Struthio camelus: one gene and its partners. The protein of the gene in region 2 purifies or fractionates together with the protein of the main gene of each other region. This does not show direct contact. Links are inferred from orthologs where the notes say so. Each region holds a gene or a part of one and is shown on either strand. Other genes may lie near its edges.

The links.
Region 1: the proteins of TMEM43 (region 2) and SAAL1 purify together in Homo sapiens (affinity purification with mass spectrometry; 3 studies listed by BioGRID and IntAct, with this or other methods). This does not show direct contact. The link is inferred for Struthio camelus from reciprocal best matches to the Homo sapiens genes TMEM43 and SAAL1.
Region 3: the proteins of TMEM43 (region 2) and ENDOD1 purify together in Homo sapiens (affinity purification with mass spectrometry; 3 studies listed by BioGRID and IntAct, with this or other methods). This does not show direct contact. The link is inferred for Struthio camelus from reciprocal best matches to the Homo sapiens genes TMEM43 and ENDOD1.

Annotation. Positions count from the first base shown.
Region 1 is NC_090946.1:19,858,111-19,861,856, reverse strand, and holds the start of SAAL1 (protein SAAL1), read right to left. Parts: upstream 2,801-3,746; 5' UTR 2,707-2,800; coding exon 2,590-2,706; intron 2,440-2,589; coding exon 2,335-2,439; intron 941-2,334; coding exon 857-940; intron 110-856; coding exon 30-109; intron 1-29. Other genes in the region: serum amyloid A protein, read right to left, coding at 2,989-3,130, 3,601-3,739. UniProt on the Homo sapiens protein: Plays a role in promoting the proliferation of synovial fibroblasts in response to pro-inflammatory stimuli.
Region 2 is NC_090955.1:9,007,763-9,011,508, reverse strand, and holds the start of TMEM43 (transmembrane protein 43), read right to left. Parts: upstream 2,406-3,746; 5' UTR 2,300-2,405; coding exon 2,288-2,299; intron 1,574-2,287; coding exon 1,424-1,573; intron 138-1,423; coding exon 3-137; intron 1-2. Other genes in the region: CHCHD4 (mitochondrial intermembrane space import and assembly protein 40), read left to right, coding at 2,684-2,705. UniProt on the Homo sapiens protein: May have an important role in maintaining nuclear envelope structure by organizing protein complexes at the inner nuclear membrane. Required for retaining emerin at the inner nuclear membrane.
Region 3 is NC_090942.1:211,867,019-211,870,764, forward strand, and holds the start of ENDOD1 (endonuclease domain-containing 1 protein), read right to left. Parts: upstream 2,758-3,746; 5' UTR 2,664-2,757; coding exon 2,094-2,663; intron 1-2,093. UniProt on the Homo sapiens protein: May act as a DNase and a RNase. Plays a role in the modulation of innate immune signaling through the cGAS-STING pathway by interacting with RNF26.

The DNA of each region.
Region 1 (3,746 bases), on a different chromosome or scaffold from region 2:
ATGCTGGTATAAAGCACGTACGCTCTTACCCAAGATTCTCATCTTTGCTAATAGACATGCATATGTCTTGGAAACAAGCCATATTTCCCAGTATTCCCACACAGATTTCCTGAAAAGTCAAAACACAGTGTTATTAAGCTGCTGCGACATAGTTCACAATTTTACTTCCACAGCCACCATACAAAGTAAGAAAGGTTCAGAGAGGCTTTCCAGTTTGATTTCCGAGTTCATACAATCCATCAACTTCAAGACAGAGATGTGGATCTTCTAAGCAATGTTGTCAGATTGACCTAAACATAAACATACTCATGAGAGATACTATTCAGATTTTTGTTATAGTTATGGTGTTCCATGGAAGAGACTGTACCTTGAAACTAACTTTGCTCGCATTCTCTCTCTCTTTTTATATGACACACACACACACACACACTGTTTTGAAGCTAATTTGACACCCCTACTATTAAAATAGAGTCCTAAGAACAAAAACATCAACATATAAATGCAAGACTCTCAGATATTCACTTCCTCATAAAAGAAAGGGCTCTCAATATAATTCCAGCAAAACTCATCTTCTGAGTATAGAGATTTTTAAAAATACATGGTTTAGAATGCTTAAACCTTTATCAATAGTGACATATATCAACTTCAGCATTACTGAAATAATTATTGATTAGACCATGTTAGATACACCGTGCAAAAAAAAAAAAAATTAAATTTGGATTTTGTGTGTTCTGTTTCCTCCCTTACTCATTCAAAAATGCAATGGGAAGAGGAGGGCGATATTTTATGAATGCATGTACAGCGCTATCTACTGTTGCTATTAACATGGGATAGCTTTGTGACAGCCCGTACTTACAGTAAGGCGAGGACATTTTGACTTGGCAAAAACTCCCATGAATATATCTGGGGCGTTGAACTCTTGAAGAAATAAAGCAACATCCTGTGGAAAAAGCAAATGGAGAAGCAAATTGACTGATAATTTCCGAACACAAGTCAAACCTTTTCTCACAGAACAAGGACTGGATCACATAGATCAGTCCACAGTTCAACATAGATGTTGAACTCATTACAAAACATCAAGTATTTGCCAACAATTACTGGCAATAACACGCTATACTACCATCCTCACTCTTCAATAACAGAAGCTCAACAAGCCCCTAAGAGTAAAGATGCTGGCGGTATGTTGTACAAGGAGCCAAACAGAACAGTCACATTCAGTTTCTTTTGCTTTCTATCTCACGGAGGGTCAGACACAGAATTCAGGAAATGCTGTTTTCTTGGACCATGACATAATCCAGGCACATAAAAAGAAAAAGGATGGGATTACCATTAGCACTTGCTCAGAGCATACAAAGGAGGAAAGTCTTAGAAATCTCCTCCTTGTTTCACCTCATAAAACCACGAGATTAGTTCTCTGTTTAGGAGTGAAGGACATATCTTCCATGTTTATTCAAAAATGTCTAAAGAGAGAACGTGAAAAAAAATCTCTTACTTGAGAAAAGAAGCTGGATTAAAAAAAAGTCTTACTTGGTTCTAGTATTTGAGAACGTTCAGAAAAAAATCCAAAAAGTTACATTAAATTGCCTCTATGAATCTACAGCTGCCGTTTATCTGTCAGAGACAACTACGTTTTTTACTATGATGCGTTATGATGGCTAGAGAGAAATATACCATTTTAGAAACAGAATCAATATTATCGCTATAGCCAAGTTGCTGAAAATAAAAGCTATGCACCTGAAGTAATTGCAGCCAATTACCACATACAGCTAAGGTATGGTGTCCTAACGACTCAAGGCTCCTGTTCAACTCCTGAACGTCATACAAGAAACCAGTCCTGACTACGGTCTCACTTAGGCCAGCTGATCCTAAGCACTAGCCCTGCACAAACCCCGAGACACCTGGAGGGGAAGGTCTGGCACATCGTGTTTTTTTCTTTTACGTTCACATGCAACCCTGCTTTGCACCCTCAAACATCAGCATGGCGCCCAGCAGCTGGGAAGCAAGAAAAGGCCTTCTTTTGCCAACGGGTGCTTGGCTTAAGAGCGCTCACCAGGCGCTTGCTCAGCCTCGGAAAGGGGTCCTTCGCGAGGGGTCTGCTCCCCGCTCGCTCACCAGACCTTCTCCGCTCCGCAAAGCGGAAAAGGCAACGCCGGCTGAACCGGAGAGCCGAGGGCGGGCGCTCAGCGCTCAGCCTGCTGCCTACCGCAGCCGTCCGTCCTCCTCCAGCCCCGCCGCTGGGACCGAAGGCGCTCGGCCGCGGCAAGGCGGCGGCGGCGGCAGCAGCAGCGGCCCGTAACCACGTCGGCGCTCCGTCCCGGCGGGGCCCCCTCCTACCTCGTCCATCGACATGTCCCACACTTTGCAGATGTCGTTCTCCATCTCCTCGTCCAGCTCCGTCCGCTCGCCCTCGCCGGGCTCCCCTTGCTCAGGGCTAATGACCTGCGCGGACAGGGGCAAGGCAAGGCGGCGGCCGTGAGCTGCGCCGCGGACCCCAGCGGCCGTTGCGACCGTTGCGGCCGCTGGTCACAGCGAGCGCGCCGCAGCCCCGCCCCGGGGGCGCCCCCCCGCCCCACCCCGGCCCCGCCGCACCTCGATGAGGCGCGTGAGGATGCTGAAGAGCCAGTGCTTGCTGTAGACCGTGCCGCCCACCGCGTCGCCCTCGTCCTCCTCCGCCTCGCTGGAGGGCGGCGAGGGGTTGCGGTCCATGGCGCCCCGCCGCCGCCGCCGCCGCCGCCGGGCCGCCAACGAGGCGGCGAGAGAGCGGCGCCAGAGCGGCGCCGCGTAGCGCAGCGCCCCCTGGCGGCGCGGGGCGGCGCCGCGCCGTGCCCCTCCCACCCCCCCCCCCGCCCTTCCCCAGCCGATCTGAACCGGTCCGCGCCGCCCGTTCAAGCGGAACCGCGAGTGCGACAGGGGCGAGTCGAGGTAAAGCGGGGACATGTCTTTATTCAGGCTATGCGGAGCACGGGGTAAAGGGAGAGAGGGACCCCGTTAGTATTTGGAGGGGAGGCCGGCCGGCCGGTAGTGGTTGGGGTCCCTGCCGCTCCTGCCCCAGGCGTTGGCCTCTTGGTCAGCACGCGTGTCTTCGGCGCCGCGGCCGCTCACCTGGCTCTGCCACTTCTCCCGGGCGTTGCTGGCAAGGGGGGAGGGGGAAAAAAAAGGACCACTTGAAGCAACCGTAACTCCCCTGTCACGCTATCGCTTTGCGTTGGTTTCCTCGCTCGCCTCAGGTTAGCTTTTCCGCAGGACTTCTCAATGCGAGAGAGAAGCAAACGTATGCCGAGTCCTTATCTGAGGACTACCGTAACAGCCACAAATTTGTTAGGAAACGAATCAGCAAGGGGAAAAAAAAAAGAGTCCCGTAGCACCAGAAACACAGGGGGTAGGAAAGCTGCCCGCTTCGGAGAACAAGAAAACCCTAATTCCCCTGCAAGAGGAGAGGCTCCTTTCCTTAAGGAGACAAGCTGTTCGGAGGTCGAGCGCTTCCTTGCCTCCACTCTTTCTAGGTCAAAAGCTGAGTACAAGTCAGCAAGGGCTCCACGCTAACTAACATGCCCAGCCCCCCAGTAAGTCGCTGTTCACAAGCCACGCACGCTCCATTACCTGATCACTGTGGCAGCCCAAGCACCGCCAGGGCCTCTTTGGGCAGCATCGTAATTCCCACGAGCATGGAAGTATTTGTCAGCACCTTTATAATTTGCCTCACGCATGTCTCGGTATGCTCTGTACATATCCCATGCCCCTGAATA
Region 2 (3,746 bases):
ACCTTTGACGTGCTCAGAGCACCAGCTAAGTGCACTAGTCTTCCCTCATTCTGTTGAGAGACAGCGTGGATACTATCAAGAGGGACCACAAGAGAAAGTCCCTCATCAAGAGATTTGGCTGTCCTCAAAGCTCGTCCCTGCAGTCAAGAAAAACAAAATCAAGTTGTGGAAGATCAATTGTACAGCATCATTTTGTGAAAAATGCTAGCATACAAGTAATCTGCAGACCCTACAGAGGGCTTGTACATTTAGCCGCAAGGAGTTTTCCTGAGATGCTTTTGTAATTCTTAACCTTCTCTTTCTTTGTGTCTGAAGAAGTTTGGGGCAGTACTTCTTATCCGTGCAGCAGGCCCATTGAAGTCATCTAAGCTACTAACCCAAACACAGACCGTTCCCACAAGGCTCTAAAGTCATTGCTCTTCACCTTTTGCCTTGTTCATTATTCTCGAGTAAGCGCAATGATTACACCAGTTAGGAGTCGTCTTCTCAGTCGTTTGACTACTGGGGCAGAAGTTCTCCTTGCCTTGCCATCATGTTACAGTGTGCTTTTCCCTGCAAAATCACTTAACTTTGGAGTAGTTCTTTCTTCTCTTGCAGAAGTATGGAAGAAAGTCATAGGTGAAAATTCACAGAATTTTGCTCCTGCCCTCCAAAACTGCCAAATATCCACACTCTGAGACACCCCCCCAACAGCTGTGATCCTTCAAACACCTATATCAAGCTCATCTCTACCACCACCAGGACTTCCATTGACTGCAGTGGAAGTTCTCAGGACGGAAAATATAAAGCATGCGTTTGCAAGGGTCATGTCTTAAGATTAACTTGCATACTTTAACTATTTTTCAATCTGAAACCAAGACAAAAAATAACACCAAGAATAATTAACATGCTCAGCTTTGCAAGGTGGAGTATTAATTCCTTCAACACAACTATAATGATACTGGAAATGAAGATCCTACATTATTCCAAGAAACAGAGAATGTAATGTGGCTGGTTACTTGCTTGGAGTAAATAATATTGTTTTGTTTTTTTTTCCCCTCTAATTTTAGTTTTTGAGACTGAGCACTAGCACACAGAAATATATTCTATGTAAGCTGCTGCTCATACCAGCCTCTTCCAATAATACTGCCTATAGCCTGTTTCCCCTCAAAGCTTTTGAATCTTATCTCTCTTACTGTAGACAGCCACCGTCTCCACCACACTCTATAGAAAAATCTCTATCTGTGGCTCCGAGATCCCCATTCTTCCATTATATCCCCAGTACAAGCAACAGACTCTCCAAACACATTATTTTTTTCTCCTGGGTGAAGTAATAAGGTTTGAACACAATCATTATAGTAAGCCTGTAAATACAAAACTAGTTGAATGTCACGTCAGCTGCGATGTTATAAAGTAACGTAAACATTAACAGTGTTTCACTTACCTCATTGGTAAAAAGAAGGTAGAAAGACAGAAGAAATGTCACAAGTCCCATCAACATGCCCCCAGAAGTTTCGCTGAGCCTCTCCAGGAACCCTGGTTTGGACTCGCTTGTGATTTTGACATGTTCTTTTTTGCTGCCTGTGTCAGAGAACTGTTGGAGGCAAACCAAAAATGCAGTATTGCTACAAAAGGGCAAGGCGTTCTGTTTCAAAATAAGTCTTTCAGCTTTGTTAAAACTGCTACTCCGCAGCACAGCCCCTCTCTCCTCGGACATAAGCTTTTCCTCACTTGCAACTGTCTCGTCATACTTTCGATAGTGGAAATACAGTCAATAAATAAAGTCGATAGAACTAAATAAGCTTGGTAGAAAAAAAAATTGCTAATATACTGGCCCAACATTTGTTAAAGCTTCCTTCAGCCTGTCCCTCGGACTTCTCTGTTGCATACACGCCCCACAGCCAGGCCAGGAAAAAAATGAGCAATACTCCTGAATTCCAGAGCAGCTACAACACCGCTATAAATAACAAGCTACGTTTTACCTCACCAGAGGATAAGAGCCTACCGCCTTTAGAATAACTGCACCTCGGGCCACAAAAGGAGAGCTAGCTTAACACAAAAGTGTTGTTCCTGTCCTAGAGGGTGCTGCGTTAAAGCGCATGGGTTTCTATACGCGTGTATTTTGGAAAGGGGCAATAACCGAGAAGCAACTGGGGAGCAGCACACGCAGCTCAGGGCGGCGGGGAGGCCCACAGGCCTCGCTCGGGGAAGCCCCCGGCGGCTTCGCACCAGCCCCACCGCCGGCCCCAGGCCCCTCTCCGCGGCCGGGTCCCCCGGGGGAAACCGCCACCCATCAGCGCTCACTCACGTTCCTCGACATCTTCTTCGTCTTCCCCTCGCCGGGTCCCGCCTCAGAGAAGCGGCAGAAAAGCGCCGCCCGCCGCCGCGCCGCCGCCGCAGGGTCTGCTGGGACACGTAGTTCCCAAACGCCGCAGGGCACGCTGGGAAACAGAGTCCTCCCGGCTGGCGCGCGGCAGGCCGGGATACGTAGTCAGAACCCGCTCGTTCCCTTCCCGCCTCGGCGCTCGGGAGGAGGGGCGCCCGCGGCCGCCGGAGGGCAGGGAAGGCGCTTCCGGAGGCGGGAGGTCACAGCGTGGAGCCGCGCGCCGCTGCCCGTTGCTGTGGTGGTAGCGGGAACGGGACGCCGGCGGGGTCAGTCTGCGCGCGCGCCGAGAGGGAAGCTACCGCACCGCCCCGCACCGCCATGTCGTACTGCAGGCAAGAAGGTGCGGGCCGCGCCGGGGCGTCCTCCCAATGTCACCGCCGGGGTCAGGCCGGGCGGGTTCGCCCTGAGGCGGCGGCAGCAGCGGCAAGGGGAGGGGGCCTGTGATGGGGCAACGCGCAGCCGCCCGCCGCTGCCCGTGAGGGAAGGGCGCAGCCTGAGGCGGCAGGAGGCGAGAAAGCCGCCCGGGGGCTGTGTGTGGCGTTGGCCCGGCCCTGCCCGCCTTCCGCCGACCTTTCTCCTCACGGCGGGCGGTGGCCGCGGGGCAGCGCGGCCGCTGGGGGCCCCGCGGGGTGAGGCGGAGCGGGGCCGCGGGCGCGTTGGGAAAAGGCCGCCCCGCAGGCGGCGGTTGGCGGCGGCCGGAGCAGAGCGTGTGCGCGCCTCGGGCCCCGCTCTTAGCTCGCGGGGCGCGGCCGTGAGGCGGCGGAGGCGTGCGCGCTCCCCTGGGGAGCGGTGGCTTCCAGCAGAGGTTAACCTTCTGCAAGCTTTAATAGCCGGAGTTTGCTGCCTTATTAAAAAGCCCAGTAGATGAGCAGCGTGGTGTGTGAGGCTTGATGCTTTTGTGCCTGTGCAAGGTGTTGTGTTGCACGGGTCATGTTATTTATTAGGCTTGGCCAGCTGATGCCCTGAGGGGGGGGGGGGTTCTCCTTTGACTAATGTCAAATGACTAAATGTAAAATTTCAAACTGGTAAAATCCGTTCTCTAGTTCGAAATGCCATTTTGAAATGGCAAACTTTGACACACTGAATGCTGACCATGTATGGTTGTAAAGTAATTATAACCTGTGCCACTCTTTGTTTTGTTTTACTGTTTATTTTAATAACATCTTGGGCCTTTGCAAGGACCCTCTGTAAGTTCTCTTATAGTATTCTACAAAATTACAACAATTATAGTGACGGGGTTAGAGTTTATATCTTTCTAGTTCCTTTTATTTAAGAAATCACTGAATATTCTGCGTTGTAAAGTCTGCTGGAGTACAATACACAGTTGACCAAAAAAAACCTTCCCCCCCCTTTTTTTTAGGCTATTTAGATTGATCTGCTT
Region 3 (3,746 bases), on a different chromosome or scaffold from region 2:
AGCTGGCCGTACTGGGATCTTTCCTTGTGGCCAAAGGCTAAGTCTTGCTTAGGAAGCATTTCCACAGGTAAAGCATTTTTGCCCAAAGCTCTCTGGTCCTGAGGGAAGCTCAGTATCTTGTCTATCTTAATCACGTGTGTGGATGTGGTGTATCCTTTCAAATAAGAACAATATTGTCACTTAAAGGATGTTTTTGAGTTGAAAAAGAACAAAACAAGCAAGCAAGAGTGAGAAGGAGGTAAAATAATTCAGGGGATTTGTCTTGTTTAGTACTGGGAGGAGTAGCTTGCTCCTTGGAAGAAAAATCCTCAAAACTCTCAGTTTATTTCATACTATCACTGATCTGTAGGGACTAAGTCAGACCCTAGTGTAACAGGGAACAGATTCACAGCTACCCCTGGGGCTACACTAGTGCAAAGTCAGAGCAACTAAGGGTAGAGCCTAGCAATAATTTTGGGGGCTCAGATATATTTCTGAAGCAGGAAATGTAAGAGGTGTGGCTCAGGTGTTAGCAGGTGCTAGGGGGGCCAATCACCAGGTCAGCGAAGAAGTGGCAAGGGACAGAGTGAACTGGATGCAGAGAAGTGTTGGAGACCTGCACAGGGAACCTGCTGTGAAGGGACTTTGAGGAGTCCAAAGAGCAGAAAAGGCATTTGGGCCTGCACAGCTGCTGCAGCAGCTCTGGTGAGTCAGACTGCAAGGGCAGGAGGAGCTATGGTGCCTAGAGGTGACAATGGCGGTCAGTGGCCAAGGCAAATGGGAAAGGATCTCATCTCTGCCACTTTGCTTTGCTGCCTCCACAGCACAGACAGCAGATGTTTACTCGTCTAGGTCTTCTCCGTGCTTTAAAAATTCATCACACTTCCTTATCTCCATAATGGCAGAGTGTGCAAAAACCCTTCCCTCTGTTTAAAGAGAGCAAGCAGACACCTCCTACGGGCATCTGCGGAGTGGAAGAAAAGAAGTTCAAAAGGCTCCCAGGAACTCCTGCAATTAAAAACCCAGCACTGAGAGCAGGGAGATGGTCCAAGGTCAAAATCAGGGTTTCAGAACCCTGCCTTCACTTCCTGCCACCTTGTGGGAAGTGTTTAATGCCTTAATATCTCAGCATCCTAGAAGGAAAATGAACAGCAGCCACCCTTTTGGGACAAGGATGAGCTTTGATTCTGGGTATGTACAGCACCTAGCACACGAGGGCCCTGCTGGCAACATGCTACTCGAATACCACGACTGCTTCTGGTCCTTACAGAGCACCCTCAGAAACTGCCAGTCTTTCTTGAGCTGAACAGACAAGGTGAGCTTGGTGTTTGCTACAATACTGCCCATGCTCACTGCTGAAATAACTGCAATATTGCAAAAAAAGTCAAGTAAAGTGTGCTCGTTCTCTTAAGGCACAAGCAATTGTTTAAGGGTTAAAATACTTAAATATAAATATTTAAATATAAATATATTTAAATATAACAGCCTGAAGGACCTGGTTAAACATGTCAAGTGTCAAGGGAGGCAAAAACCACTGAGGCTGTAGTGATATTCTCTTTATACTGCCCACTTCTGACTCAATTGAAACATTTCTGCTCCAGGACACTGTAATCCACTTCTCTATCCAGTATCTGCAACAGAGGAACACAACAAAAAGCTGCTGTGTCAACTTGGTGAGCCACAAATGCATGTTTTATTCCTGTCCAGTGAAGCTAAAGAGCCCTTATCAACACTAGGATCATGCTGGCAACCGAGCAGCCTTCAGCCTGACACTGAAATGTTTAACCCTATTATCCACCAGCAGTGCTCCCTAATTGAGGTAGCTAGCTAAACGAGACAAACAGATCCTACCGGGTAAAAGACGATTTTCTTTTCCCCTCACATTCCACAGCCCATGCAGCAGCCTCTTATTTTTCAGTACAAGCTCCGTGGGATAAGGAACTATTTGTTCACTTCCAAGCACCAGAATAAGCTGGCTGCAGTAAATTCATATCAAAAGAGGTTCCACAAGCTCTTGACTCCTTTGCAAGATCCCATCCCCAGCTAATATCTTCACCTCAGAGGAAATGTTCTCAAGGAACATCTGCTTTACAGTGAAGGAAAGGTTGACTTACCTGCGGTTCAACCAGCCACTCCTCCTCTTCATTTTGCGCTGGTTTTGTATACTTAAAAGCTGAATAAAGAGGGATTTTGTCCTTAGTACTGTAGAGTGTTGCAAATCGTGGCTCTTTGTTGTACTGCTGACAGATTTTCACATGGAACGGCTCGGTAAATCCTTCTGGTGGGACTTGTCCAGAGAAGAACACATTACATTCAGCAAAACCACTTTCATCCTCTCCAACAACTCTGCCCTGGGAAAAGCCTGGGAAAACTGAGAGGCAAAGCAGAAATAAAATTGACGTCTTCATGGTCCACTCCCTTGAGCTGAGGGAAGCCCTATCTGTCTGCTGGATTCGGCAAAAGACCTGTGCTCTGAGCCCATGCAGCAGTAAAGCCAGCAAGCGTCTGGAATTCGGGTGTAGTGTACAAGGGAAATGAAATATGAAACCACAGCCGTTCCCTTCAGGGAGCGAGCGCTTTCTGCAGGCAGCACATTGTGAAACCAAATGTGCGCAAGGCTGCGCTGACACACGCTGCAGACACCAACTGCCCCAGGGAGATAATGCCAAGCAATCTGAAATCATCGGGGCTAATTTGGAAGAGGAGGTGGGAACTCCATAGCAGTGCAGGTCTATAGCTGAACAGCATCAACCCCTCCAGGCTTGAGCCCAGCGCTGGCAGGGGTGTGGTGTGCTGCATTGCAGCAAAGTCCCCAGGAGGAATTTTGGCTGACACAGCCAGAAGTCTTCCCAGGGCTGCCAGGGGGATGCTGCAAAGTCAGATCCACCACCCAGAAGAAGATTAGCTGCCCTCTCCAGCCACAAGCCTGGCCAAGAGAGAGGGAGAAAGAGGGAGAGAGAGGTGGCAGGATATTGCCACTGCTGAGAGTCCACTTTGCCCCTTTTTTAGGGTATCTATTACCACCATTCCTGCCAGCCACATGCTGCAAAGGAGCCTGGGGAAAGCATTCTCCTCCCATCTCTCTTGGAGCTGTGCAAGGCATCCAAAATCCTCCTGTAGAGCAGTATCACCTCACCTTGGCAGAACCACCCTCAGAAGATACTAATAAGAGGCAGAAAGACACAGACCCTCCAAAAAAATCTACCTAAAGGGAATGAAACCACTCCTCTTCGGTTATGCTCAACAGAGGTATTATCTGCCCAGTGAATAGCTGCCTATGACACCTAGGCTACTTCCGGATAAAAGGCTGCTTCAGTGACTGGGAGAATCAATGTTTTCAGAACAGTGGGGTCGGGGAGGAGGAGACTACAGAGCTCTTCCTCAGAGACAAGAAAACATGCAATTTCCCATCCAGGAAGTTAGATATGATCAGATGTACTGCCAACAACTTCCTCCCCACCACCTTAAAAAATCCTAGGTGCCAATAACGTGCAGGTCTCTTTCAGACAATGCTGTTTTATACTGTTACCCTGATTTCCAAGGAAGAACCTCTAAGTGCTACAAACCCACAAGCGCTCCGCAAACTAGTGAAGGAGTAGCCTATACTGCAAATGAAGAAACAGGACAGGACAGAGGGCAGTTCAAATGACTGCCCACAGTCAGAGAAGGGGCCTGTAAAAGAGCTAAAAAAAGATTGAACTCTACGCAGAGATGACTTCTAGAAGTAGCAACGCAAGGAAATACGTCAGCACCTTTTAATGTGATGT